4 linked regions of the Stegostoma tigrinum genome follow. The protein of the gene in region 1 purifies or fractionates together with the protein of each later gene. This does not show direct contact. Links are inferred from orthologs where the notes say so. Each region holds a gene or a part of one and is shown in the gene's direction. Other genes may lie near its edges. The genes, in order: hif1aa, cul2, neuronal-specific septin-3-like and hdac4.

Region 1 (7,821 bases):
CAAAAGACCCAACTGCAACATGAAAGTGTTTTTGTGCAGCGGGTGGTTGGGAACTTCAGGTGCACTGCCTACGTTTGTGGTAGAAGATACATTCTTAGCTGTCTAAAGTAAATCCGATAAGCACCTGGAGCTACGAGCAGGACGATGGACATTTATACTAGAAGTATAAATTTGGAAATGAATAGATCGATTAAAGTAATGAGCAAAAGATCATGTAAGAAAAAATGTCGCTTTCTGTGTCAATTTGAACACACAAATTTTGAGAACTGGACCAACAGTTTTCACTACCCTTTAAATATATCCAGGCTTGGGCTGATGTGAGGCAGGAATGTTATTTCCCATCTGACTGTCAGATATTGGCCATCTCTCCATGATATTTAATGGCATTACCAATGCCAAATTTGCCATTCAACATCCTGCAGGTTACCACTGATCAGAAACTGAACTGGATCAGCCATATGAATCAGTAGCCACAACGACACGAAAGAGCTACTTCCTCCGTCTCACCCTTGTCCATTCACCAACTGCAGAATAAAAGTTGCAGTTTTGGAAAGTGCTGTCAAAGTAGCCTTTAGAAGATGCTGAACTGCAACTTGTAGGTAGTACACACTGCTGTCAGTGCTGGAGAGTAAATATTTCAGGTGGTCGAACTGGTGTCAAACACCTCACCTGTTTTGACCTGAGTGGTAGCAAAGTTTGAATGCTGTTAAGTCCACCAATGACATTTTTTTTTTTCACAAAAACTCCGCGGTAGATTTCAACAAAATTTGGTAGAGAGAGAGAGTTCACTGGCCAAGGAGACACATTTTTAAATTTTGTTTGTTGATTTGAGCATCCATAGCTAGGACTGTTTTTATTGCCTCTGTCTAATAGCCCTGGAACAGAGTGCCTTGCAACTTGACTCAATTTAGCTTGGAAAAAATAGCATTGATGTAGATCTGGTGTCATGTGTAAGCCAGATGACACACATCCTTCTGAAAAGAAGTTTGTGTTTACAACCATCAACATGGTCACCATTTTGTCATCCGCTTTGTAGAACACCTACACTCAGTTCACAGTAAACAACTGCACCTCCCAGTCGCGAACCATTTCAACTCCCCTTCCCATTCCTTAGTCTACATGTCCATCCTGGGCCTCCTGCAGTGCCATAATGATGCCACTCGTAGGTTGCAGGAACAGCAACTCATATTCTCATAACTCACTTATAAGAAGGATGTGGAAGCTTTGGAAAGGGTGCAGGGGAGATTTACTAGGATGTTGCCTGGTACGGAGGGAAGGTCTTACGAGGAAAGGCTGAGGGACTTGAGGCTGTTTTCGTTAGAAGAAGGTTGAGAGGTGACTTAATTGAGACATATAAAATAATCAGAGGGTTAGATAGGGTGGATAGGGAGAGCCTTTTTCCTAGGATGGTGACAGCGAGCACGAGGGGGCATAGCTTTAAATTGAGGGGTGAAAGATATGGGACAGATGTCAGAGGTAGTTTATTTACTCAGAGTAGTAAGGAAATGGAACGCTTTGCCTGCAACGGTAGTAGATTCGCCAACTTTAGGTACATTTAAGTCGTCGTTGGACAAGCATATGGACGTACATGGAATAGTGTAGGTTAGATGGGCTTGAGATCGGTATGACAGGTCGGCACAACATCGAGGGCCAAAGGGCTCGTACTGTGCTGTAATGTTCTATGTTCTATGTTCCTCTTGGAAACCCTGCAGCCCAATGGTATCAATGTGGATTTCACCAGCTTCAAAATCTCCCCTCCCCCCACTGCATCCCAAAACCAGCCCTGCCTGCCTAACCTGTTCTTCCTCTCACCTATCCCCTCCTCCCACCTCAAGCCACACCTCCACTTTCTACCTACTAACCTCATCCTGCTCCCTTGACCTGTCCGTCCTCCCCGGATTGACTTATCCCCTCCCTACCTCCCCACCCATACTCTCCTCTCCACTTATCTTCTTTTCTCTCCATCTTCGGTCTGCCTCCCCCTCTCTCCCTATTTATTTCAGAATCCTCTCCCCATCCCCCTTTTCTGATGAAGGGTCTTGGCCCGGAACGTCAGCTTTTGTGCTCCTCAGATGCTGCTTGGCCTGCTGTGTTCATCCAGCCCCACACTTTGTTATGGTCACCATTTAACACAGCTATTTTTAATTCCAGGTTTATTGAGCTCAAATTTCACCATCTGCCACAGTAAGATTTTGAACGTGAGTTCCCAGATCATTAGATTGGAATAGTAATCCAAATAATAATAAGCTCCAGTGACATTAGCACTTTGCCACCAACTCACTTAGATGAGTTTTTTGGCAAAGATGCAGGTTCAGATCACAGATATTTTTTGGGCGTTTTGTAAACTTCGGGACATTGGGCAATTTCTAAATCAATCCACATTGTTCTTTTAAAAGAAGTTGTGCAGTGTAAGCACAGCTTTCAAGGTAGGTTGTTTAATACAGATTGCCCTACCAGTTAGGGAGCCTGGGACTTGAGAGAGTGCAATCTAAAAGTTGTGTTAAGTCAGTGAAGTCAACTTCTATGCAAGGTAGTAGAAGTTTGCAACTTGTATGAAAATTCATGCTAGATTACATGGATTAAGGTTGCCAATTTTGTTAGCCAAAGATAATGAGGGGTATTGGGCAAAGGCAGGGAATGGAGATGTGCTGCAGGTCATCTGTGATCTCATTAAATTATGGAACAGGCTGAAAGAGCGCATTTGTTTAATTCTGTTCTTAAGAATCTGCAGCAAATATAGATTATTCTACAGGAGAATTTTATTTGATGTTACTTCATTGCTTTAAAAAAATGTTACTGGTACACGTTAAATAAGCTATGGATTATTTTCAAAGTAACTCAGTTTTGTGACCCGGAAACCTTTGATCGGAAAGAAAAATAGTAAAGGAAACCTAAAGATACTCTGGTGTTGCAGCATTTCAAGAGAGGAAAACAATGTTAACATTTGAGATCTGAAACTTTGTATGTAATGCTCTCCTTACACTCTCTCCTTTGTGTTGCTCCAACTTTGCCTTTGTTTCTTTTAAGATTGAATAGTGCAAATATTGTAATAATGTTACAATCTAACTGTATAATTGAAATGTTAGTCTGGTATTCAGAAAGTATCCAGCTGTTCAAGTTAGGCAGGTGGCTCAGTATGCAATATTGATGATCTGCTTTTCGAATACCACTATAATTGTTGCAGTTGTTTTTCACAATAATAACCATAAACCGAGTACATGATTGAGGTTTTTCAAAAAAGGTTTTCATTTGGGATTGATATTTTTAAAACTTTTCATTTTAGCTGCTTTTCAGTATGTTTGATCTCACAAAAGAAATATTGTTTTGGTTTTGTTACAGTGTCATCTAGTGGTGAGTGTGGGTATTAAGGATTGCAATTGTCACAGCAATATCCTTAGCCTTGTCTTACCCCCGGCTCCTCGAACCACATGGATTTTGGCATGCCTTTATTTAGGCTACTGGAAATTGAATGTAAAATCTCGGTTAAGAAGAGGCCTTTAGCACTATGTAGCGCTAAACCCTGGGGAATCTAAATTTGTTAATGTGATCACTTTTTTCAGTTGAAATAAAAATCAAAGTTTACTTACTGAATTTAAACTATTAGAATACATGACTACATCTTTTTTTAAATTCATAATTGAGTTCATTTTTTTGACGAGCAGTGCAAAGACAGGAAGATCACCGGCCTGGTCAATTGTTGATTAATTGGTTGGGCTCTCTGAACTTGGGATGGCAGAAATCAGCTCAGGCTCTGTCTCCCGCTGTCTTTCCAGTGAACTTAGGGAAGTGTGTGTATTTGTACCTTTGAAACAGGTCATAAGTATTTTGGCAAATTAATGGGTTGGGTCCATTGGCAAGGATGAAATGTATCCACATGGATATAGGTTGAGTGTCTACATTCTCTCTCTCAGCTAAAACAATAGGCTCTAGCCCAAAGGCGTACTTGGAAGAAGCTGTCTTACTGACCTGGAAGGACTGGCTGACTGCTGAGCCACAATAATTGATGGACTTTGCTGAGGGTAACTACATACCTTTTAATCACTTGATTTTGTTTCATTGACTGCCGTAGGAGATAGAAAATTTTCAAATAATGGTTTTTCTTAACAAGGAGTTGCTTATTGATCTGAGAGATGAGTGTTGTAAAATGGGAAAAATTAGGAAAACATTCAATAGTTCAATTGACAATAGATTTTCAGGCTAATCCCAATCCCTGAATCTGACAGTTTTGACTTCAATGACTGAAGTTCTGTTATAAATAACAGTATGGTACCACGAACAGCTTTCTTCTGTATTTGCCTTCTGCGAGTAAAATAAAAATGAAGTATTTAATCAAATATTTGTCTGTCTGTTTATCTTTTCTTTCATATTGTATTAGATTGTATATTCCAAAAGTTGAATAACCATTTCAGTTCAGAGTACTATTCGGAGTTAAGATTCTTAACAGTGTTTCATGGGCAATCTCTAAAGTTTAAGACTTTACTTGTTAAAGATGCTGCATCAAAACGGTCAAGTCTTAGGAGCTCATTTATGTTACTCTGTTTTGAAGATTTATCTTTGTGGAGTCGTCAAGCAATACGCAATGCAGCCAATCTGAAGTTTATTTAAACACATCACTGTATTTTTTTTTGCCCTCTGCAAAATGTTAAGGTTTGGTATTTTTCCTGTTACTTCCTAAGCAGGGTTTGAGGTTGTTTTGTGCCTTGTGTGATTATTGGCAGTATTTGCCATATGTTCCCTGTTCTGGAATTGAATTTAAGGTGCACGTGAAGCTATTTGTTGCATTCTTGTTAGCTGACATGGCTTCTTACAGTTCTACTTTGAATACCAGCAGTGGTAGTTCCGAGAGAAGAAAGGAGAAGTCTCGTGATGCTGCGAGATTCCGAAGGGGCAAAGAGTCGGAGGTCTTCTATGAACTGGCTCGTGAACTCCCTCTTCCTCACAGTGTCACTTCTCATCTCGATAAAGCGTCTATCATGAGGCTAACTATCAGCTACTTGCGCATGAGAAAATTGCTTAATGCTGGTGAGTAATTTGTAGTAATTTAAAGTAGGTAGCATTTTTATATAAGTGACTAACAATTTAAACTAATTTACTGGCTGTGAAGCACTTTGGAATGTTCTGAGGACGTTTGAAAGATGAAGTATAAATACACAGCAATTTCTTTGTGCCCAAACTCTAATAGCTTTAGAACATTTACGTAGCTTTTCCATAAGTTGCCACAGATTTATTTTGCACCCAACATGGAAGGAAAGATTTGGCATGCCGTTTGTTAATTTTTTTTTGCTTCATAGGTCTCATTTCACTGAAACTGTGCCTCTGTACTAGCTACTTATTTCCAAACACGACATCATTTTATTTTATGCTAAGTGGAGAAATGCTGCAAATGTTTACAGTATTATTGGCTGGATTGTGGGACAGTGCTGATAATGAAGCTATTAGTCGCCGTTGCCTTCATTCCACTGAACTATGGAAATCCCAAAAGTTTCTGAGATTCTTTTCTAAAGGCCGTGTTGTTGAAACACCCCTCCTCCTCCTCACTACACAATAATGGGAATTACTTGAACTAACGAACATTTCCAGTTTTGCATTGTGCATCTTACTGTCAAAAACCCACAAAAATGTTATACCCTATGGCTACTCAAACTCTCTCATTGCTCCTGAGAAATAAAAAAATTGACATTCTAGACAAAAATTTAAGTAATAGCTATTTCATTTATATTTTTTCTTCCGGCTAACAGTTAAAATGAGTACAAATAAATACAACTTTGTTTTAACTGGCAAAATTCACAAATACTGTACTGAGATCTACTGTGATATGAGTATTTATGCTGTAAATAAATTATACCAGTGATGTAAACGTCCCCATCTTCACATTTCTCTGACTTAGCATGCATTTTTACATGGATTTTAGGAGGTGTGGTGATGTTTTGGTAGGCTTTTTTGAGGGATATTGATACTGGAACCTTTGCTTGGCCAGAATTTACTGCAGTTGTGTGCATGTCATGATTATCCAGAATATTTTATCACCCGACACTTGCCTAGTCCTATGGGTGCCACCTAACTAAAAGGTTTGCTGTATAAACAGTCAGTCATCTCAATATTTGAAAATTTAAAAGCATTGGAGATTGTATTTGCATGGGAATACTCAATCCCTTTGGTTGCTTACATGCTTGCTTACATCTCTGATACTGTAGATGAAGATATCCTATTTTTAAATCGTTGTCAGGAAAAGCAACAACCATACCAAAGATTTGCTGCATATTTGGAGTGGGATGGGTAGTGCAACTTGAGGTAAAGTGGCCTGAAGTGCTGCTGACTACCTAATTGAGGCCAATGTATCTGGTATTTTTTTAATATGCATTATAGTTTCAAATGTAATTGGATGCTTTCAGAATAAAGTTGTTGCTGAATCTTGATTCTATAAACAATTTTAAAATAACATACCCTATCTAAATACTTTAAGTGCAAGTTGTTCTGATTAATTATTATCATGTCTTAAACATTCAGGGTTTTTCATGTAGGTGGATGACAAAATGGCTACCATACCCAAGTAAACTAAACCTTGGTTAATGACTGTTGTTTTCAAAAGATGTAGCAGGGCTTAGAGATGGAATTCCATGAGTCTGTGGGTGGAGAGGTGAGGTCAGGTGTTTAAGGCACAGCGACCACTGGTGGGGGTGAAGAGAATGAGGGATGCATCAAACGATAGAGACCCTAGTTTAGGCCAATTCTGACCAGTTAGGATCAATAATGTTTGAATGGTATGTTGGCCTTCATTGCAAGAGATTTTTCAGTACAGGAACAGGTGTGTTGTTGCAGTTATTCAGGTCTTGGTGAAGCCACACTCAGAATATTGTGTGCAGTTTTGGTCTCCTTTTGAGGAAGGATGCTTTTACACTCGAGGGAGTGCAGCGAAGGTTTACCAGGTTGATTCCAAGAATGGTGTGTCTGATGTATGAGGAAAGATTGACTAGGTTGGGATTGTTTTTGCTGGAATTCAGACGAACGAGGTGAGGACATGGTAGATGTTCCCAATGACGGATTTGTCCAGAACTGGGGTCACCATCTGAGGATTCAGGATAGACCATTTAGGACAGAGATGAGGAGACAGTTCTTCACTCAAAGAGCGGTGAGCCTGTGGAATTAAAATAGTTGATGCCAAAACACTGAACGTATTCAAGAAGCAACGAGAGATAGCACTTGGGGCAAATGGGATCAAGTGTTACGGGGAGAAAGCAGAATTAGGCTGTTGAGTTGGACGAACAGCCATGATTGTGAAAAATGGCAGAGCAGGCTCAAGGGGCCAAATGGTCACCTCCTGCTCCTATGTTCTGTGTTTCTCTCCCTGACTTATGATTTTGGATCGCAGTTGTACTGTTACTTACTGTGATACAGGTGTACAATATATTACTGTTTATGAATTTTTAAAATTGAGGCTGATGTGATTTTGGTTTTGGTTAAAATGTTTCTTAAATAGACGTCCGAAAGTCATTGGAAAAGACACGAAGATGTAATTTTCAAGAACGCATGTAACTAAGTGCCTAACTAGATACCTGAGAGTTAATTAAAGTGTTTACAAAGTGGAGTCTTTTTTTTCTAAAGGGCGTTTAGGTAGGGCTTGTTGTTTTGAGTTCTGTTCAGAATCTGGCTTTAGTTCAGGAAACGAATTCTGTCTTAGAAGAATTTTCACATGCGAAGGTTCCAACCTGTAAGAATTCATGTATGAGTTTTCACACAGTCAGAACTGAAAGATGTTTGGGCTAACAGGGCTGGAAAGAAGCCTCTTGGCCATCCAAACTGGAAAAAGTTAAGTTTGACATG
Region 2 (8,037 bases), on another chromosome or scaffold:
TTGAGTGAGTGAGTGTGATCCGGATTGGGTGTGTGAGTGAGTGAGTGAGTGTGATCCGGATTGAGTGTGTGAGTGAGTGTGATCTGGATTGAGTGAGTGTGATCCGGATTGAGTGAGTGAGTGTGAACCAGATTGAGTGTGAGTGTGATCCGGATTGAGTGAGTGAGTGTGATCCGGATTGAGTGTATGAGTGAGTGTGATCCGGATTGAGCATGTGAGTGAGTGAGTGTGATCTGGATTGGGCGTGTGAGTGAGTGAGTGAGTGTGATCCGGATTGAGTGAGTGAGTTTGATTGGGATTGAGTGTGTGAGTCAGTGTGATCCGGATTGAGTGAGTGAGTGTGATCCAGATCGAGTGTTTGAGTGAGTGAGATCTGGATTGAGTGTGAGAGTGAGTGAGTGAGTGTGATCCGGATTGAGTGAGTGAGTTTGATTGGGGTTGAGTGTGTGAGTGAGTGTGATCCGGATTGAGTGAGTGAGTGAGATCCGGATTGAGTGTTTGAGTGAGTGAGTGAGTGTGATCCGGATTGAGTGAGTGCGATCCGGATTGAGTGAGTGAGTGAGTGTGATCCAGATTGAGTGAGTGAGTTTGATTGGGATTGAGTGTGTGAGTGAGTGTGATCCGGATTGAGTGTGTGAGTGAGTGTGATCCGGATTGAGTGAGTGAGTTTGATTGGGATTGAGTGTGTGAGTGAGTGAGTGTGATCCGGATTGAGTGTGTGAGTGAGTGTGATCCGGATTGAGTGTGAGTGTGATCCGGATTGAGTGAGTGAGTGTGATCCGGATTGAGTATTTGAGTGAGTGAGTGCGATCTGGATTGAGTGTGTGAGTGAGTGCGATCCGGATTGAGTGTGTGAGTGAGTGTGATCAGGATTGAGGGTGTGAATGAGTGAGTGAGTGTGATCCGGACTGAGTGAGTGTGTGGGTGGGTGAGTGAGTGAGTGAGTGAGTGAGAGAGAGAGATCGGGATTGAGTGTGTGAATGAGTGCGTGAGTGTGATCCGGATTGAGTGTGTGAGTGTGAGCTGGATTGAGCATGTGAGTGAGTGAGTGTGATCCGGATTGAGTGAGTGAGGTTGATTTGGATTGAGTGTGTGAGTGAGTGTGATCCAAATTGAGTGTTTGAGTGAGTGTGATCCGGATTGAGCGTGTGAGTGAGTGTGATCCTGATTGAGTGAGTGAGTTTGATTGGGATTGAGTGTGTGTGAGTGAGTGAGTGTGATCCAGATTGAACGTGTGAGTGAGTGAGTGTGATCTGGATTGAGCGTGTGAGTGAGTGTGATTCGGATTGAGTGAGTGAGTTTCATTGGGATTGAGTGTGTGAGTGAGTGAGTGAGTGTGATCTGGATTGAGTGTGTGAGTGAGTGTGATCCAGATTGAGTGAGTGAGTCAGTGTGATCTGGATTGAGCGTGTGAGTGAGTGAGTGTGATCGGGATTGAGTGTGTGAGTGAGTCTGATCTGGATTGAGTGTGTGAGTGAGTGAGTGAGTGTGATCCGGATTGAGTGAGTGAGTTTGATTGAGATTGAGTGTGTGAGTGAGTGAGTGAGTGTGATCCGGATTGGGTGTGTGAGTGAGTGTGATCCGGATTGAGTGTGTGAGTGAGTGAGTGAGTGTGATCCGGATTGAGTGAGTGAGTTTGATTGAGATTGAGTGTGTGAGTGAGTGAGTGAGTGAGTGTGATCCGGATTGGGTGTGTGAGTGAGTGTGATCCGGATTGAGCGTGTGAGTGAGTGAGTGAGTGTGATCCGGATTCAGTGTGTGTGAGTGAGTGAGTGTGATCTGGATTGAGTGTGTGAATGAGTGTGATCCAGATTGAGTGAGTGAGTGAGTGAGAACCAGATTGAGTGTGAGTGTGATCCGGATTGAGTGAGTGAGTTAGTGTGATCCGGATTGAGTGTGTGAGTGAGTGTGATCCAGATTGAGCATGTCGTGATCTGGATTGGGCGTGTGAGTGAGTGAGTTGGTGAGTGAGTTTGATTGAGATTGAGTCTGTGAGTGAGTGAGTGAGTGTGATCCGGATTGGGTGTGTGAGTGAGTGTGATCCGGATTGAGTGTGTGAGTGAGTGAGTTGGTGAGTGAGTTTGATTGAGATTGAGTGTGTGAGTGAGTGAGTGTGATCCGGATTGAGTGTGTGAGTGAGTGTGATCCGGATTGAGTGAGTGAGTTTGATTGGGATTGAGTGTGTGAGTGAGTGAGTGAGTGTGATCTGGATTGTGCGTGTGAGTGAGTGAGTGTGATCCGGATTGAGTGTGTGAGTGAGTGTGATCCGGATTGAGTGAGTGAGTTTGATTGGGATTGAGTGTGTGAGTGAGTGAGTGAGTGTGATCTGGATTGAGTGTGTGAGTGAGTGTGATCTGGATTGAGTGAGTGAGTTTGATTGGGATTGAGTGTGTGAGTGAGTGAGTGAGATCTGGATTGAGTGTGTGAGTGAGTGTGATCCGGATTGAGTGAGTAAGTGAGTGTGATCCGGATTGAGTGTTTGAGTGAGTGAGTGAGTGTGATCCAGATTGAGTGACTGAGTGAGTGCGATCCGGATTGAGTGAGTGAGTGAGTGTGATCCGGATTGAGTGAGTGAGTTTGATTGAGATTGAGTGTGTGAGTGAGTGTGATCCGGATTGAGTGTTTGAGTGAGTGTGATCCAAATTGAGTGAGTGCGATCCGGATTGAGTGTGTGAGTGAGTGTGATCGGGATTGAGGGTGTGAATGAGTGAGTGAATGTGATCCGGATCCAGATTGAGTGTGCGTGATCCGGATTGAGTTTGATTGAGATTGAGTCTGTGAGTGAGTGAGTGAGTGTGATCCGGATTGGGTGTGTGAGTGAGTGTGATCCGGATTGAGTGTGTGAGTGAGTGAGTTGGTGAGTGAGTTTGATTGAGATTGAGTGTGTGAGTGAGTGAGTGTGATCCGGATTGAGTGTGTGAGTGAGTGTGATCCGGATTGAGTGAGTGAGTTTGATTGGGATTGAGTGTGTGAGTGAGTGAGTGAGTGTGATCTGGATTGAGCGTGTGAGTGAGTGAGTGTGATCCGGATTGAGTGTGTGAGTGAGTGTGATCCGGATTGAGTGAGTGAGTTTGATTGGGATTGAGTGTGTGAGTGAGTGAGTGAGTGTGATCTGGATTGAGTGTGTGAGTGAGTGTGATCTGGATTGAGTGAGTGAGTTTGATTGGGATTGAGTGTGTGAGTGAGTGAGTGAGATCTGGATTGAGTGTGTGAGTGAGTGTGATCCGGATTGAGTGAGTAAGTGAGTGTGATCCGGATTGAGTGTTTGAGTGAGTGAGTGAGTGTGATCCAGATTGAGTGACTGAGTGAGTGCGATCCGGATTGAGTGAGTGAGTGAGTGTGATCCGGATTGAGTGAGTGAGTTTGATTGAGATTGAGTGTGTGAGTGAGTGTGATCCGGATTGAGTGTTTGAGTGAGTGTGATCCAAATTGAGTGAGTGCGATCCGGATTGAGTGTGTGAGTGAGTGTGATCGGGATTGAGGGTGTGAATGAGTGAGTGAATGTGATCCGGATCCAGATTGAGTGTGCGTGATCCGGATTGAGTGTGTGAGTGAGTGAGTGTGATCCGGATTGAGTGTGTGAGTTTGTGAGAGTGATCCAGATTGCGTGTGTGAGTGAGTGTGATCGGGACTGAGTGTGTGAATGAGTGAGTGAGTGTGATCCGGATTGAGTGTGTCAGTGCGTGTGATCCGGATTGAGTGTTTGAGTGAGTGAGTGTAATCCGGATTGAGTGAGTGAGTGAGTGTGATCTGGATTGAGTGTGATTGAGTGAATGTGATCTGGATTGATTGATTGAGTGAGTGTGAGTGTGATCGGGATTGAGTGTGTGAATGAGTGAGTGAGTGTGATCCAGATTGAGTGTTTGAGTGAGTGAGTGTGATCTGGATTGAGTGTGTGAGTTTGATTGGGATTGAGCGTGTGAGTTTGATTGCGATTGAGTGTGTGAGTGAGTGAGTGTGATCCGGATTGAGTGTGAGAATGAGTGAGTGCGTGTGATCTGGATTGAGTGTGTGAATGACTGAGTGAGTGCGATCCGGATTGAGTGAGTGAATGACTGAGTGAGTGCGATCCGGATTGAGTGAGTGAGTGAGAGAGATCCGGATTGAGTGTGTGAATGAGTGAGTGAGTGTGATCCGGATTGAGTGTGTGTGAGATCCGGATTGAGTGAGTGAGTGTGATCCGGATTGAGTGTGTGTGAGTGTGAGCCGGATTGAGTGTGTGAGTGAGTGAGTGAGTGTGAACCGGATTGAGTGTGAGTGTGATCCGGATTGACTGAGTGAGTGTGATCCGGATTGAGTGAGTGAGTGACTGCAATCCGGATTGAGTGAGTGTGATCCGGATTGAGTGTGTGAGTGAGTGAGTGAGTGTGAACCGGATTGAGTGTGAGTATGATCCGGATTGAGTGAGTGAGTGACTGCAATCCGGATTGAGTGAGTGTGATCCGGATTGAGTGAGTGAGTGTGATCCGTGTTGAGTGTGTGAGTGAGTGAGTGTGATCCGGATTGAGTGAGTGTGATCCAGATTGAGTAAATGAGTGCGATCCGGATTGAGTGTGTGAATGAGTGAGTGAGTCTGATCCGGATTGAGTGTGTGAATGAGTGAGTGAGTGTGATCCGGATTGAGTGTGAGTGTGAGCCGGATTGAGTGTGTGTGTGTGTGTGATCCGGATTGAGTGTGTGTGAGTGAGTGTGATCCGGATTGAGTGTTTGTGAGTGAGTGTGAGCCGGATTGAGTGTGTGTGAGTGAGTGTGATCCGGATTGAGTGTTTGTGAGTGAGTGTGAGCCGGATTGAGTGTGTGTGAGTGAGTGTGATCCGGATTGAGTGTTTGTGAGTGAGTGTGAGCCGGATTGAGTGTTTGTGAGTGAGTGTGATCCGGATTGAGTGTGTGTGAGTGAGTGTGATCCGGATTGAGTGTTTGTGAGTGAGTGTGAGCCGGATTGAGTGTGTGTGAGTGAGTGTGATCCGGATTGAGTGTGTGTGAGTGAGTGTGATCCGGATTGAGTGTTTGTGAGTGAGTGTGAGCCGGATTGCCAGGCGGACAGGGGTCGCTCTCTCTCTCTCTCCGTGTGTGTCAGTCCGGGAGCCGCGGTTGCCGCACACACTCACACTGAGACTGAGAGAGACGCCGCTGGGAACAGCCCAGCCCCGGAGCCGAGCGGCCGCCGTGGATTCAGCGAAGACGATCAGTTGGAGGCCGGGCTCGGACGGTGAGGAGCTCGGTGCGGGACACGGTCGGCGTTTTTGTGAACGGGTAGCCGGCTGTCTGCCTGGGCCCCAGGCCGTCCTGGCCCTGCCGGGGAGGGGGAGGATGCGGCCTGTCGGCCCCCGGTGTCAGTTTAACGGTGACTCGGCGCCTTCGGGTTGCTCTCGGGCTGGGCCTGAGCGGAGAGGCCGCGGCGGGGGTGCCGGCTGTTGTAGGAGGTTTCAAAGCCTGTGTCCAGGGCCAGTGTCTCGTTGAAGGGCACGGGAGGCGCCCCGGGGCCGGGCCAGGCCAGGGCTGGGCTGTGGAAAGAAGCTTCAGGGGTCGGGAGCAAACAGCTGAGAATTAAACATCATGTCACTTTACCCGCCCTCCTCTGCCCCAACTCTCACCTGCACACCCTCCCCCCCCCTTCCCCCCCCCCCACGTTCCCCCCCTTCCCCCCCCCCCCACGTTCCCCCCCTTCCCCCCCCCCCCACGTTCCCCCCCTTCCCCCCCCCCACGTTCCCCCCCTTCCCCCCCCCCCACGTTCCCCCCCTTCCCCCCCCCACGTTCCCCCCCCCGTTCCCCCTCATCCCCCCCCCGTTCCCCCTCATCCCCCCCCCGTTCCCCCTCATCCCCCCCCCGTTCCCCCTCATCCCCCCCCGTTCCCCCTCATCCCCCCCCGTTCCCCCTCATCCCCCCCGTTCCCCCTCATCCCCCCCCCGTTCCGCCTCATCCCCCCCCCGTTCCCCCTCATCCCCCCCCCCGTTCCCCCTCATCCCCCCCCGTTCCCCCTCATCCCCCCCCCGTTCCCCCTCATCCCCCCCCCGTTCCCCCTCATCCCCCCCCCGTTCCCCCTCATCCCCCCCCGTTCCCCCTCATCCCCCCCGTTCCCCCTCATCTCCCCCCCGTTCCCCCTCATCCACCCCCCCCGTTCCCCCTCATCCACCCCCCCGTTCCCCCTCATCCACCCCCCCCGTTCCCCCTCCCCGTCCCCCCCCCGTCCCCCCCCCGTCCCCCCCCCGTCCCCCCCCCGTTCCCCCCCCGTGTTCCCCCCCCCGTGTTCCCCCCCCCCCGTGTTCCCCCCCCCCCGTGTTCCCCCCCCCCGTGTTCCCCCCCCCGTTCCCCCCCCCCGTGTTCCCCCCCCCGTGTTCCCCCCCCCCGTGTTCCCCCCCCCCGTGTTCCCCCCCCCCGTGTTCCCCCCCCCCCGTGTTCCCCCCCCCCCCGTGTTCCCCCCCCCCGTGTTCCCCCCCCCCCGTGTTCCCCCCCCCCCGTGTTCCCCCCCCCCCGTGTTCCCCCCCCCCGTGTTCCCCCCCCCGTGTTCCCCCCCCCCGTGTTCCCCCCCCCGTGTTCCCCCCCCCGTGTCCCCCCCCCCGTGTCCCCCCCCCCCGTGTCCCCCCCCCCGTGTTCCCCCCCCCCGTGTTCCCCCCCCCCGTGTTCCCCCCCCCGTGTTCCCCCCCCCCGTGTTCCCCCCCCCCGTGTTCTCCCCCCCCCGTGTTCTCCCCCCCCCCGTGTTCTCCCCCCCCCGTGTTCTCCCCCCCCCGTGTTCTCCCCCCCCCGTGTTCCCCCCCCCCGTGTTCCCCCCCCCCGTGTTCTCCCCCCCCCGTTCCCCCCCCCCCCGTTCCCCCCCCCCCCGTTTTCCCCCCCCCGTTTTCCCCCCCCCCGTTTTCCCCCCCCGTTCCCCCCCCCCGTTTTCCCCGTTCCCCCCCCCCGTTCCCCCCCCCCGTTGTTCCCCCCCCCGTTCCCCCCCCCATTTCCCCCCCCGTTTCTCCCCCCCCCCGTTTCCCCCCCCGTTTCCCCCCCCCGTTTCCCCCCCCCGTTTCTCCCCCCCCCGTTTCCCCCCCCCCCGTTTCCCCCCCCCCCGTTTCCCCCCCCCCCGTTTCCCCCCCCCCGTTTCCCCCCCCGTTTCCCCCCCCGTTTCCCCCCCCCCGTTTCCCCCCCCGTTTCCCCCCCCGTTCCCCCTCATCCCCCCCCCGTTCCCCCTCATCCCCCCCCGTTCCCCCTCATCCCCCCCCGTTCCCCCTCATCTCCCCCCCCGTTCCCCCTCATCTCCCCCCCAGTTCCCCCTCATATCCCCCCCCGTTCCCCCTCATATCCCCCCCCGTTCCCCCTCATATCCCCCCCCGTTCCCCCTCATATCCCCCCCCGTTCCCCCTCATCTCCCCCCCAGTTCCCCCTCATCCCCCCCCGTTCCCCCTCATCCCCTCCCCCCGTTCCCCCTCATCACCTCCCCCCGTTCCGCCTCATCCCCCCCGTTCCCCCTCATCCCCCCCTCATCCCCCCCGTTCCCCGTCATCCCCCCCGTTCCCCGTCATCCCCCCCGTTCCCCGTCATCCCCCCCGTTCCCCCTCATCCCCCCGTTCCCCCTCATCCCCCCCCGTTCCCCCTCATCCCCCCCGTTCCCTCTCATCCCCTCCCCCCGTTCCCCCTCAACCCCCCCGTTCCCCCTCATCCCCTCCCCATCCCCCCTCGTCCCCTCCCCATCCCCCCTCGTCCCCTCCCCATCCCCCCTCGTCCCCTCCCCATCCCTCCCCGTTCCCTCCCCATCCCCCCCCGTTCCCTCCCCATCCCCCCCCGTTCCCCCTCATCCCCTCCCCCCTTCCCCCTCATCCCCTCCCCCCGTTCCCCCTCATCCCCCCGTTCCCCCTCATCCCCTCCCCCCGTTCCCCCTCATCCCCTCCCCCCGTTCCCCCTCATCCCCCCGCCGTTCCCCCTCATCCACCCCCGGTCCCCCTCATCCCCCCCCTCATATTCCCCCCTCATCCCCCCCCTCATATTCCCCCCTCATCCCCCCGTTCCCCCTCATCCCCCCCCGTTCCCCCTCATCCCCCCCCGTTCCCCCTCATCCCCCCC
Region 3 (7,745 bases), on another chromosome or scaffold:
TGGATATTTTGATAGGGGAGATGATCTACTTTAAAACCATCATGTGAGCTTTGGTCAGTTTTTCTGGAAATATAAATGAGTAACAGGAAGTTTCTTCTTGGTTTGTAACTTTGAAAATAATTAAAAAGTGAGCTCATTATTGTGGGATCCATAAACGTAAGTTTAAAAGTAATTTATTTCTACAATATGCAATGAATAGACAAAAAGCTCTGTAAAATGTTAACTAAAATAGGTAATGACTAAACATTCATATCAGTTTTCCGTTTGGTGTTTGATGACTAATTGTAAAGTCTGTCAACATTACCATGCCCATTCCAGTTTGAGCAAGAAGCTTTTTTAAACAACTATGCAGCAGCTGTATAGCAGGACATTGATCTGAGCCAAAATGTATATTTCCATGGTTGTAAATTTGTTTTGTTAAGTAAATAAAGGAAGCAAGATGTCATTTTGGTATTATTAGCAAAAAGCTCTCATTGGTAGAGTTTGACAGATTTGTTCTACTTTGCTTTCTTAAGGCAGTGCATTTTCTGCTTTTCTGTCAACTTTGTTTTTTTTTCTAGTTGCTCAGACAGGATCGGAGCTGTACCCTGCTTGTGCAGTAACATCAGGTTTTTCTCTTAATATAAACATTTAATGCATTCCAGACAGTGTTTCTGGATATGCGTACATAACATGAAACACATTCCCCACTTTCTGTTTCTCTTATTTTAATCAGCTCTTTGGAATAAGGCTGACTGACTACGCATCTGTCTCTGGTAAAAGTTACTACATTTTTCTTTTAAAAACACTTCAAGTGGGCACTACCTATACAACTTTTTTAGATGCTGTGTTTTTTTTTATTTAGCACATTCTGTACACTTGCAACATAAATCTGAAGCATGTCTGGATTTCTTGGCTCGGTAACGTCAGTTTGATAATTATCTAAATTTATTGTGCATGCTGCTTCACCTTTTAGATATATTCAATTGGATATTCCCAAGGTATTATCATCAATTGAGAGAGAGTTTTCTTTTGAGTCTCCTTTGGTTTATGTTGTTCCAATGCATTACTGTTTTAGGCACTCTCTACCATCTCCCCTGCAACCCCTCCCCCCACCCTCCATAAAGAAACCTTCCTGCATTTTTGCAATTGAGTGAATCAAAGTCCTGATTTTTAATAGATATCTTGTTAAATTTTTCAGTAAAACTTCAAGGTCACTATTTTCTTAATGTAAATTTTGTCACCTTGCACTATTTTTAGGTTCTGTCACAAACCATGTACCTTAAAATCACACAGGGACATTTGTATCTATAAATAAAGATTTTTGTTCCACTCGAGTATATCAAATTAAAAGTTATTTTGCAGCATGTCAAACTTATTTTCCCAGTGTAACTTTAAAGGTATTCCAAGAAACCTATTGGCTCTGATATTCTTAATTGTTTGCCAGAAAGACATCAGGCAATTATGATTTCTTTGGCAGCCAGCTACAAATATAAGGCCAGAAGGTTTTATCCCATACACCAAAATTCCTCATCTTGTCTGGTTTCCAGTTTTACGGAGTATAGGATGAAAAATGTATGATATATGTACTGGCAGCATTCAACAGGCTGTTGTGACAAAGTTGCATTTCTGTTACAAAAAGGACCTCACGTTTCCACCTATTTGAAATAATTATCTCAATAATTTATAATTGTGCTTAAGATATTGCATGTCAAAATGTGGAGCCTTCAACAAGGCTAAAATGAAGTCTCTTGAGACCAGACACTATTAATACCTATAGTTTGACATTTTCCAAACTCATTGACTATTGCAGACTCCTAATCGTACACACTCTGAATTATCTGCTGTCTTTTAACACAACAAGCTGTTGAGATGAACTTGATCAGACAAGTCCTCTTTTATCCCATAAATAGTTTCCCCTAAAGAGTTTTACCTACATGTGAGTTAGACTTGATGCAATATTTCTTTATCTGTTTAAACCTATCCCAGGAATTCAGGATACAATTGAAAGGGTCTTCCTATTATTCAACAAGCACTTACAGAATTTAATCATTGATGTATGAAAAACCATGGTATGTCTTTCCATTGCATATACGGCTTGGATATGTGTCAAGTTAATCTTAAACCCAACTTTTATGTAATCCAGCTGTTCTATGAACTGAAAATAGTAAACCTCACATTTGGCACCAGCGTTCCTCAGCTAGGAAAATACAGGGGTGGCTCAGAGTACCACACTTCCCATTTCTGATTTGTTATCTACCTCTATCTCAAACTGGAAAGTAAATCTCTGAGCTGTGATCTCATCCATAGTTGAAGAGCTTGTTGCTAATCACTCCCGTAAAAGAATGACACTACAGTGAGTTGAGGGTGATTTCTGGCATCATAGCACTCTTCCCAGGGAAGAGGAATTGCTTTCATGGCAAAAGAAAATTTAAGGAGCAAGACTTTTTAGTAATCATGCGTTGAAAGTATGTTTCCTGTCTACTACTTCACTGTCTTTATTTTTTAAAAAAAATTGAAATGGATGTTTAATAGGCACACCATCCATTGATTTCAATATTGAAATTTAGCTCATTGTTTCATTTCCCTTTTTGTGCACGATAATAAAACAGGAGCCTAAAATTCTTCATCTTAATAAAAATACCATACGAATATATGTTTTACTTCAATTGGAAATCAAGCATCATCAAACAAAGTCCATTCGTATCAAACGTTTTTTAATTCCAACAATGTCTGAATATCTACATAATTGCTACAGGAGCAGGTCACAGGCCGGGAACTCTGTGGCCTTTGACTCTTCTCGGGTCTCCCCTCAAAGTTTAACAGCGTTGCCAGAAAGGAATGTGTTCTTCGTTAACTGGGAAGAGAGCATCTCAAACAAGTCTAGACACTCAACAGCATTTGAAACAAAGGTCTCAACTTGATTGGCTCCCCATGATCTTACCCCATCATGGGGCACTGTCACTGCAGGATTTACCATTTGATGCAATGCAAAGTTCAATTAGCACTTTCCAAAATCAAAATGTTTTGTCACATGGCAGGACTGAGGAAACAGTTGTGAATGAGTGGAAATAACATGACATCCAAGTCACACACTAAGTTAACATGGATATATATTATTGCTCCTTTATTGTTGGGTAAAATTCCTGGAATATACTATCTAATAGTACTGCAAGGCTACCTTCACCATATGGACTGCCATGATTCAAGGAAGCAGATCACTGCTAATGTAGATTGCCTTTTCATTGATGTTGATCCACATAACACATCACAGTGATTCAGGTTCTTGTTGAAAAAGTTGTCTTTTAAGTTTATTAACAAACACAAACAATTTACACCACTTCATTATAACACACTAAGACACATGGTCTCCATCCTGTTACTAATGTTACTGTACATTTCATAGACATAAGTGCTAGGAGCAGGAGGAGGCAACTCAGCATCCTTTTCTCCCCACCACCCCTCCCAAACCTGCTCTGACCAACATACTGCACTGGCTCCACTGAAAATGCAGTGTGACTGAAGGTCAGGTGGATGCCTTTTATATTCAATGATGTAATGTAACTGTATTGAAGGTACATACCTTTCTGGTCTAGAATCCATGCAGGATACTCTGTCCAGTTTCTTCTCTCTCTAAATAAAACCTTTTCCCTTAAATGTGTCCAGGAATGTATGTGGATACTATCTATGTACATTCAAATAATGCCTTAGTGAATGTGCAACATGGCCAGATTTAGCTTTACACAGTTATCATGGATTTGGTGTAAATTCATTCTGCAGTGTGCAGTCTGTCATCATGGATGTATATTGTTGTTGACTGGCATAATCCTCCAAGTGAATGTGAAGTTGCTAAGTTGAGGGAAGGTGCGGCAAATATTTTTAGATGTGATGCCTAAAATTGTCACTTTTTTCTTAAATTAAGAAGTGAAATATGCAGTGAACAATCCAACAACGAGTGTTGCTTGATTTGGATTTCTCACTAAAATAACGTCAAGCTGAACTGTGAACTGCAAGGATAGGACAGGGACTTGATACCTGTGATCAGTGCTGTGAATGTCTGTGGTCCTCAATTTTTTTCTAAGAAAGTGCTGCATCATTTCCTGGAGTCTGGAAAAATACTAGAGAAGTGTCAAAGACCAAGAAAAACTGTTCCACTCAGAAAATGTCCAGTGCACACCTGAGGAAGTTAGCAGGACAATTCAAGAATTCAGCATGATGAAACAAATCATTGTTTGTCTTGAATCTATTCTTTCCTGTGTACGTTAGGGGGTTGATTACCAAATCCCATAAGGTATTTGACTTGCAAAGCAGTGGACTCGATAATACAGATAATTACTATGCAATGTTTATATTGAGCTGAACGTCAGATCATGGAATTGATTTTATTTTGGGGCGGGGGGGGAAGTTGTAAACATGGGAAAAATATCTGCCAATATCATTAAGTTGGAGACGCCATTGACACAAAAAAAACTTTTAGCCCATTGCATGTGTGCCTGTCAAAAACAGCCAGAGGTAATTCTGCTATAACATGTTTCATTAATGTGAATTAGTTGTAACATGATTGAATACCAGACACCATTTGGATAATGCAAACATTCTCCAGTGCAGGTCAATTTCCCTATATTGCGCTTTTCTGTAGCGTAAGGTCACATGAGCACAATTATCACGTTTATAGGAGAACCACCTGCACTTACCTTTTCAAATCCTAATTTTCAGCACTCAGCATCATGTGCACATCTTAAATACTACCGAACTGTTACGATGGTTTCTGCCTCTACGACTCTTCTAGACGGTGAGTTCCAGATTGTCCACACCCCCGGGGTGTGGAAAAAATATTTCTGACATCCCTTCTAAAGCTCTTGCCTTTACTTTACTCCAAGCCTCCTGATCATTGATTCCTCTACAATGTCTATTGGCCTCATAATTTTATACATCTCAATCCTGCCCTCCCTCAATCTCCTGTGCTCCAAGGAAAACAACACTTTCTGTCCAAATTTTCAGGTATCTGTCCTTTTGAAGTGAAAGCTTTTGGTTTTGACTTCACATACTTGTGAGACATTCATCCACCAGATGAACGCAATGATCTCCAAATATCATACCCATCCCACAGGCCTTGAATATGCCTGTTATCGCTGTATGTGACTAGCAGGCTTAAGCTACAACATGCTTTCAAGGCACAGGTAGGTAATGTGTAGTCATAGATGTCACACTGAGACAGGGTGAGTCGACGACAAGCTCAATAATAATATGTGCTTGGTTTTAGATTTATACAGCACTAAAAATAAACTTTGTTCTAGATTTACTTTGGAGTGGATCCTGAGTTGGACATGAATTCAGAAAGTGAACTTGTGTCTTTAAAAAGGTTTAACATACCTTAAAACACCTTTAACACCTTAAAAAGGTTGGAGACCCCAACTCTAGGTGATTGGGCTATAATGTATAGGTAATGCAATGTCTTGTAGAAGATAGCTCGTGTATTTCATAAAATACTGCACGCTGTCTTGGTCAGTGAGAAAACCCACACTTCATATTATTGACTGCTGTAATAGTTGCACCAGAGACCATCAATTGCTAGCCTGCTGCTACTGTATTGAACTTTCTTCGTTCTTTGAGTTATCCACCAATGGTGTCATTGTTGTTTGTACAGAAAGGTGTGGAGTCAACGATTGTTCCCATAACCCTTCATTTAAGTTAGCTTTGGTGAAATCACATTGTGTACATCTGTGTAGACATCTGCCTGTGAATGTGCCAATCATTGCACCTCGTACCGGACGATATGGCCTCAACTTGAGCCTGTGTACCCTGAAATTAACCTTAACTTTAAGCTGGTTTATTTTGAAAGTCATTTTTCCTAAAGTGAACTTCACACTTTTTAAAACTTCAGTGCCCAAAAGAAGAATAACTTTTGTTACCTGACATTCCTTCAGTTATATGCACTCAGCTTGATCACCATGCCAGATAATAGACTGATGGTGAACTGAGAGGTGAGAAAGGGCACAAGGGATAACCAAGTCCTCATCCTCAGCAAGCCTTCATGGCATAGGCTGTACAGTTAAACCTGTGATGCTGAGAACTTCTAATTCCATGGATCCTCAGAGATGTGAGGGTCCTTGGTCCCTGCCAGTTTTGTTCTGCTGTCACCCAACATGTACAATCCTGCCTCACAGAAGGACAAAATTGTTGTCATTGTTGCATTGTGCTTTGATACATTCAGGTTTTCAGCTATGGCAATGCATTAAAGCAATGAGAAGTAAATATAAGCCTTATGGAATTGGTAGTTCTGATTGTGAAATAAAGTTTTTCAGTATAACGTGAGCCCTGAGATCCAGGGATGATTAATTTGTGAATGATGACAGTGTAAGAGATGTTGATCATCTACATGAGGTCATTAGAGCTTTTGTGGCACTGTTCCTGGGCCCTTTGGAATAGATTGTGGTGAGTGACTTTCCTGACCACATGCTGCTATTCACTTCGGAGAATGAGCCTTGAGCCCACGCCCTACCCCCAGAACCCCTGCAAAGCTCCACCATTAATACCACAAGTGCCAAATCCATCACATTTAGGATCTGCCTCTGCACTGCAGTTTAGTTTTTCATCTTCTAAATTACATTAGAATTTAATGCAGGTGCCTTTTTAAAAGTGCAAGATGCCTTTAAGAATTTGTGGGTCAATTTCAGCAGTTGGTATCTGAACAAAGACGATCTCTCCCTCATGGTGAGAGCAGACACTACCATCAGTATGCTGATGTAGGAAATAGCTTGGGACCAGCTTGATCATATTCTATTGATAAGGTAGGTATGCCAAATGGATTAGCTACCTACCTCATTTGAACCATAGAGAGAGAAAGAAGTCATGATTCATGCCCTCCAGGCCCTCCCAACTCCTTGCACCCAAAAGCTAGAAGTAATTAAATAGGAGATAAACTTCTAATCCTTAACCTACATTGAACCAGCACAATTTTTAGTAACTGATGTAAAATGAAATTTTGTTTATTTGCTTGTTCTACCTTCTATGTTCATAATGCTTCTTCTTACATTCTTTTGGCTAGAGCCTTGTGCAGTTTTGCTTACACAGCTGGAAATGGATTTATGATATGAATACTTTTTTGAATAATATCTAGCACAAACTCTGTAGGATGACATGAGAGTGACAGCCCTTGATGGCAAGGTCATGTGTGACTTAGTGTGAAATCAGGAGGCCCTAGCAAAACTGGAATGAATTGGAACCAGGCTAAGGACCAGAATTCGACCTGCAGTTTGAGAGGGAGACTCTCTGTTGACTGAAGTCATGCTTCACACAAAGGAAGATGATTGCATTTGTTGGAGATTAATCATCTCCGTTTCAGTCTGTCTTTGCAAGAGATTGTTAGGATAATATCCTCAGCCAGAATATCTTCAGCTACTTCATGAGTTCAGAGTGGGAATGTTCACTGAATCAGAATATCCTTTTATTGTCACATGTACTGCATTGTAGAAGTACAGTGAAAAGCTTTTCACAACATCTGCCTCTTGCAGTACCATCCTGGGTACAAGCACCTAGGCATACATCTTGGATACATAAGAGGAATAAAAAGTAGTTGCATTACTTTTACAGTGTTTAAAAATAAGGTGTGCAGCAGAAATCCATCAAGACTCCTCATTCAACAAATTCACAACTTCTATTATTTAGAAGGCCAAGGGCAACAGGTACATGGAAACTTCAGCAGTTGCAAGATCTGCATCAAACTATTCACCAACCTGATATGGAAATATAACTCTTCTCCTGTT
Region 4 (6,847 bases), on another chromosome or scaffold:
GAAAGTACATTTATAAAAGTTGTGATTTCCTTTCAATTGCAATAAATTTGACATGAATGTGCAGCATGTTTTGTTTCATTTGCCAAATTATGCATGTCAAATTCAGACATTTGTCTAAGATATTTGCACACCAAACATGTTGTTTGACTACAGATTTTATTCCTCACCAACTCTCTTAAGTAGATAGACTGTTTGTTTTAAATTTTCATCCGAATAAGGTAAGTTAAATCTTGTTAATTAAGCCATGGCAATGTTTTTAAAATAATCTTAAATTAATCTCAAAATGAACCTTAACAGCAAGAAGAGAGTTTAAATGTTAATGCAGATCACCAGTGAAAATAAAATTACCTATTGTATATTTGTACAATTGAATATTTTTGGCATGCTTTTGTATCATTATTTTATTGAGAACTGAGCAATGTTTTGATTTAACTCTGGAGGTGGATTGTGCTGTCCCCATCATAAGTGCTACATTACAAAACCGCCAAGAATTTGATGATTTGAGAAATTTGGACTTTTGGTCAACTCTAGGAGAACAGAATCTGCTTGGATTTTTTAAAAGAGTATCTGCTGTGTCCTGAGCTTGAATAGTTTTTTTAAAAAACTTCATTCAGAGAAGGTGAACTTTGCTGGCTGGGCTAACAGTTTTTGGCCAATCCTTAGAATATGGGAATTAGCTACTGCCATCCATCTTTTATCTAGATATGCCCTCAGTTTTTAATAGTGGGGACTCGAGGATCTTGACCCAGTGCCACTGAACGAATGGCAATATATCCACTTTAGGATGGTGAGTGGCATGGAGAGGAGCTCGCAGTTCAAGGAGTTCCTTTGTATCTGCTGCCCTTATCCTTCTAGGTCATGTTCGGAAGGTGCTGCTGTCTAAGGAGTTTGGGTAAATTTTTGACAGTGCATCTTGTAGATGGTAAACACTGCTAATAACTATGCATCGGTGGTGGAGGGAGTCATTTTCTGTGGATCTGGTGTTAGTCAAGCAGACTGCTTTGTCCTGGACGGTATCAAGCTTCTTGAATGATTTGGAGCTGTACGATCTAGGCAAGTGGAGAGTGTTCCATCACACTCCAGACTTGTACCTAATGGTGGTGGTAGAAAAACACTGGGGAGTCAGGAAGGTGAGTTACTTGCTGCTTACTGAGATATCTAACAAAGCAAACATTTATTTACACTGTCTGTTGATTGCAGTAAGCTTGTTACCATTGTTTTTCAGTCAATCTGTTAAACTCCAGAAGAAAGAAAGAACACTTACAGCAATAATACTAATTTACAATTTTTGGTTATTTTAGCTGAGGGGATGGTAGTGCACAGATTTTTAAATGGATTAGTGGTAGTACATATTCATGAAGCCCCATTTAGAATACAGTGTCCAATTTTGGGCCCCGCACCTCAGAAAGGACATACTGGCCCTGGAGCGTGTCCAGTGGTGATTCACACAAATGATCCCTGGAATGGTAGGTTTAACATATGATGAACGGCTAAGGATCCTGGGATTGTATTCATTAGAGTTTAGAAGGTTGAGGGGAGATCTAATAGAAACTTACAAAGTAATGTATGGCTTAGAAAAGGTGGACGCTGGAAAGTTGTTTCCATTAGGTGCGGAGACTAGGACCCGTGGGCACAGCCTTAGAATTAGAGGGGGTAAATTTAAAACTGAAATGAGACGACATTTCTTCAGCCTGAGAGTGGTGGGCTTGTGGAATTCATTGCCACGGAGTGCAGCAGCGGCCGGGACGTTGGATGCCTTCAAGGCAGGGATCAACAAATTCTTGATCTCACAAGGAATCAAGGGCTATTGGGAGAGTGCAGGGAAGTTGCATTGAAATGCCCATCAGCCATGATTTAAATGGCGGAGTGGACTCGTTGGGCCAAATGGCCTTACTTCCGCTCCTATGTCTTATGGTCTTAAGACCGATTGTGTACTATTTATGTTAAAATGAAGAGGATAATAACACAGAAATTGGAATGCCTTCTGTCGACTCATGTATTGTTTCACATTCACAAAGATCAATGAAGATTAGGCTCGGAAATAGCCAAGATTAGCAGAACCAGGTAGAGATAAATTTAAAGAATTGATAATTTCTCTGTAAGGAATACCTCCTATTAGTGCATTAAATGGAAGTTTGATCTTTCTTTGTAGTCTGGTCATAAAATAAAATTTGTTGAACCTTTGAAGAATGCTGGTTTAACAACTTGTCAAATCATCAGTTTTTCTTTGTTTTTCTCCAGTATAACACCATTTCCTTTTGGATAGGCTTCAAGTTTGTTGCAATTGGATTTATGAGAATTATTTTTTGTAAATAAAATGACGTACTTGCAACTAATTACTAGTCAATTTATACCAAGTTAATTTTGAAGTATTTCTGGCATTGTAACAATACCTTTTCTCCTGTTAACTGTAGTTGATAACAAATCTTGGTGTACAGCAATATTAAAATAATCCCTAGTTTCGGTAGTCATATTCCAAAGGGTATGCATCTCTTTCCTTTACTTTATAAATTACTAAACTATTAGAACAATGATTTTGAAATGTAAAGAAAAACAATATTTTATGTATTCTCTGATCTACATCTTCAATGCATTAAAATTTAAAATTTCCTACTCATCAAATTATTGCTATGTTCAACCTCACATCTGCAATGTTCTCCTTTCCCAAGTCAGTGGTGTCGTCTTGACATTCCTGTCTGTAAATCCCTGCTTTGTCCAGCTATTAAACGCAAAGGCCACAGTGACCCTGACTTCTCTTCTGTGAAATTTTCTTTCATCTCCTCAAAATGTCATTTGACCAAGCTATCTGTCCTCCCCTAACTTCTTCCCCAGCTTTGCTGTTCAATTTCTTTTTGAATTTGTGAAGTGCTTTGGGGTATTCTTTTACTTAAAATTTATAATGAAGTAGTATTTATTGTTATGTAACTTTGTTATCTTGTAGAATTGCTACTCGATTGACAATGTCGATCAGTAATTGCTATCAGTTTAGATTAAGTATTTTAATGAATTGAGAATTGCGGCTATTAATGTTTTATTGTCATGAGCTGCCATATTGAATATAAATACCCTTCATGGCAACTTAAGAAATAAATATGGCTACTTCATCTACAAATACCATATGTTCTTGTGTAATGATTTTATAAATTGGCTCACGTTTAAATTTATAACGAAACTAATAATTAATATTAGGCTGTTGTTACTTTGGCTCGCAATTACTTTCACTGTCTTAACTTATGCATAATGTTTTCCCCCCAGTGGGTTTCCTACATAAAATTTGCTTATGATATATGCGGAGTAAACTAGTTCGCGCAATTTGCAATGTGCTCATGTTGACGGCGGACATCTTAGCAACATACGTATTCAACAGAGTATAGGTCCCTTTTATATTCTCCTAATAACTGCAGACAACTTGACAATAGCAAAGTGGAAAGACCTTCCTCGGCACAGGGAATCTCTGAGATTGGGGGTTTGTACCCATTCTCACGGCCATCTAGTTCAACTACCACTATGAACTATGGTTTGACCTGCCGGTTGCCAGTAGTGCACGCATGTTTATAAGGAAGTTATGTAACAAAATTTGGGCACATCAGGAGCGAAATGAAAATCCCATTTCATTCGATCAGCAATATTTTGTTGCCGAAGAAAGGCTTAATTTGCTACTTAGTTTTTATTTTTGAGGGATTTTGTGGAATTCCAAAATCGCAAAAAATAGAGGGGGAATAGGTACACTAATGCATAATATGGATAGGACTTCGTGAACTCCCTGTGCTTTTCGATTTTGGCTGGGGAATGGAACATGAAAGCTGATTGGGTTCAGCAAGTCGCTTTCTATCGCTTTCAATGTAAATAATATGCGACGCAGCTTGACTTTGGCGATTCCACATTGAATAGTGCTCCTTTGCTTGCGGAATATACAATAACTTATTCAGTTCGTAAGAATTGAATGAAATCGGGTCATTTCCTTGCTGATTGCGTCATTATAGCCTGCTGCTGGAGGTGCTTTCTGTCTTTTTACAATGCATTGGTGAAAACTGTCAGAACAAACTCGGGGGGTGAGGAGATATTCATTCTTTTCAGTGTTTCATATTTTAAAAGAAGCGGCGTTACTTACTCAGGTGTCGCAGTAGATAAGCAGTTGATTGGATTTTATGCAAGGAGTTACAATGCAGAAATTTTCCAAGTCGCCTGTACTGTATAGGAGTCACTGTAAATGGTACGTGCAATGCTTCTCCAAGCCGGTCCTCATACTTTGATTGTTAGATATTTTTGTGTGGCCTTGAATATGCAGTAGACGGTGGCTTGCATACCAAAAAAAGTATTACCATTGCCTGGCTGTTCCGAAAAGAGTCGAACAACTTCCCTCGTTGGGCCAAGTCATGGAAATGAAGCCAATTTTTTTTCCCTCTGTTTCTATCTGATTTACGCTTAATGTATTGTAATGCCACTTCGGTTGTTATATTACATTTTTGTATAACTAGAGTTTTGATGGCCTTCCGACGAGACGAAATTTGTTTTAAAAACGGCAAGTAAACTGTAGCACCTCTTTCGCCAAAGAGTTAAATGTGTGAAGAGCGAAGTGAAACTGGAGATCTGACAATCGAACAGAGGCGAATTCCAAAACAAGTTGAACTACTGATAATTGTTTCTTTTGCATTAGTGTGAAGCTGAAAGGAATCTGAAAGTCAGTCCAATGCCAGAAAGGTTCACAAAAATTTAATTTTAAAACGAAAGCCTAATCTTGCTGTAAAAACGGTTGTCATAAATCTGTACCCATCGAGCAGAGAATGCAGAATAGGGTAAGATGGCCCATTATATGTGCGTGTAACAGATGCAGGAGTTAAATAGTGTACGACTCCTGTATGTAAGGCGATTTGAAATAAATGTTATTCTCTCGATTTCATCTTTCAATCTGACGTTTCCTGACCATAAACAGAGTTGTTTCTCACTGGCCATTGAGGCCTGACATACTGCGTCCCTCTTGAGTTTATGCATTTTAATCTCCTGCAATGTTCAGGCTATTTTTAGCTCCCACTCCCAGGGTTCGGTTTCTGTTAACAGCAAGCCACATTGTTGGTAAATCACATGTAAAATGAAATGCCTATCTTTCTCTGCTTCCCCAGTACGTACGTCTGTGGCGAACGGTTGATATTGTGTTTTCAGTCACTTTGTCAATTACAAATGCATATTAGGATACAACTTGGAAAACATCGTGAAATTCTGACAATTTAAAGAAATGAAATATTATTTATTCCGAAAGGGCTCCATTGTTTATGATTTGAAGATTGGCTCCATGCCTAGGTAGGCGTGCGGTCTATGTAAACTTTGTGTAAAAGAAACAATCAGTTAAAAGTACTATTCTGGAGAGTGATTTTTGTCCCTACCCCGGCACCCCGCGCTGTTAGAAACAAAACTGCCTGGATTGCAACAGATACTGCAGACTGTAATTGCGACTGAATCCTTTTCAATTTCAGATGGACTTTCCGGTCGAGATCAGTCGATTGAGTTGCTGACCCCTTCAAGAGTGAATCACACGCCCAGTACTGGTAAGACCAAATTTTTAATTGAGACATTCATTTACCAAATAAAATCAAGTCACGAACTACCTTCTAGATGTTGCCAACCCCCAGAATGGAAACTATTTTACAATGAAGAATTGATACTGTTGGCTACTTAGCTGTGTTTTTGTTCATTCCGAAGTGTTCCTTTTTCACTCATGGGACGTTGCTGGTTGGCCATAATTTATTCCCCGTCCCCAATTAACTTTGAGAAGCTGGTATCGAGCTGCCTTACAGAAACGCTGCAGTCGATCTGCTGTGGGTTGAGCACCATGCCCTTGGGGAGGGGATTCCAGTATTTTGACCCAAAGAGAGTGAAAGAACAGCAGTGTATTTCCAAGTCAGGAATTCCAGGGTTTTAATTAGGATGGCAAGTGGCTTGAAGGAGAACTTGGAAGTAGTGGTGTTCCCATCTATCTTCTGCCGTTGTCCTTGTAGATGAGCAGTCGTGAATTTGGAAAATGCTGCCCAAGAATCTTTGAATTTTTGCAGGGTATCTCGTAAACAGAACACACCGCTGCTACTGAGCATCCGTGGTGGAGGGAGTGGATACTAGTAGATGTAGTGTCAATCAAACAGGTGGCTTTTTCTGGACGGTGTCAAGCTTTTCTTGAGTGTTGTTGGAGCTGCACCTAACTAAGCAAATGGCTAGTACTCTTTCAGACTCCTGACTTGTACCTTGTAGGTGGTGCATAGGTTTTGGTGAAGCAGGAGGTGAATTACTCACTAGTATTCCTGGACTATGACCTATTTTTGTAGCCACCATGTTTTGTAGCAAGTCCAGTTGCGTTTCTAGTTGATGTAACCCCCAGGGTGTTGATAGTTGGGGATGGTAGCACAATTGAATGTCAAGGGGCAGTGGTGAGTTGGTCATTGCCTGGCATTTATGTGGTGTAAATGTTACTTGCCACTTGTCTAGATCTCGTTGCATTAAAACATGGACTCCTTCTGGAGCCGAGCAATTATGAATAGTGCTGAACATAATCTAGTTGTTGGCAACATCACCACTTCTGGCCTCATGATGGAGGGAAGGTTATTGATGAAGCGATGATTGATGGTTAGGCCTAGGGCACTATCTTGTGCAACTCCTGCAGAGATGCCCAGAGCTCAGATGACTGACTTGCGACAGCCTCAGCCATCTTCCTTTGTGCCAGGTATAACTCCAACCAGTAGTGAGATTACCCATTATTTCCAGTTTTGCTGGGACTTCTTGACGTCATACTTAGTTGAATGCAGCCACAATGTCGACAGCTGTCACTCTCGCCTCACCTCTGGAGTTCAGTTCTTTTGTC

What was found.
Region 2: the proteins of hif1aa (region 1) and cul2 purify together in Homo sapiens (affinity purification with western blotting; 7 studies listed by BioGRID and IntAct, with this or other methods). This does not show direct contact. The link is inferred for Stegostoma tigrinum from reciprocal best matches to the Homo sapiens genes HIF1A and CUL2.
Region 3: the proteins of hif1aa (region 1) and neuronal-specific septin-3-like purify together in Homo sapiens (affinity purification with western blotting; 4 studies listed by BioGRID and IntAct, with this or other methods). This does not show direct contact. The link is inferred for Stegostoma tigrinum from reciprocal best matches to the Homo sapiens genes HIF1A and SEPTIN9.
Region 4: the proteins of hif1aa (region 1) and hdac4 purify together in Homo sapiens (affinity purification with western blotting; 4 studies listed by BioGRID and IntAct, with this or other methods). This does not show direct contact. The link is inferred for Stegostoma tigrinum from reciprocal best matches to the Homo sapiens genes HIF1A and HDAC4.

The regions. Positions count from the first base shown.
Region 1 is NC_081363.1:29,394,053-29,401,873, reverse strand, and holds the start of hif1aa (hypoxia inducible factor 1 subunit alpha a), read left to right. Parts: upstream 1-4,796; coding exon 4,797-5,022; intron 5,023-7,821.
Region 2 is NC_081355.1:130,397,799-130,405,835, reverse strand, and holds the start of cul2 (cullin-2), read left to right. Parts: upstream 1-5,007; 5' UTR 5,008-5,209; intron 5,210-8,037.
Region 3 is NC_081375.1:33,918,713-33,926,457, reverse strand, and holds the start of neuronal-specific septin-3-like, read left to right. Parts: upstream 1-4,716; 5' UTR 4,717-4,740; coding exon 4,741-4,771; intron 4,772-7,745.
Region 4 is NC_081360.1:21,568,422-21,575,268, reverse strand, and holds the start of hdac4 (histone deacetylase 4), read left to right. Parts: upstream 1-3,814; 5' UTR 3,815-3,943; coding exon 3,944-4,052; intron 4,053-4,096; exon of another isoform or gene 4,097-4,876; intron 4,877-5,079; exon of another isoform or gene 5,080-5,094; coding exon of another isoform or gene 5,095-5,119; intron 5,120-5,471; coding exon 5,472-5,543; intron 5,544-6,847. UniProt on the Homo sapiens protein: Responsible for the deacetylation of lysine residues on the N-terminal part of the core histones (H2A, H2B, H3 and H4).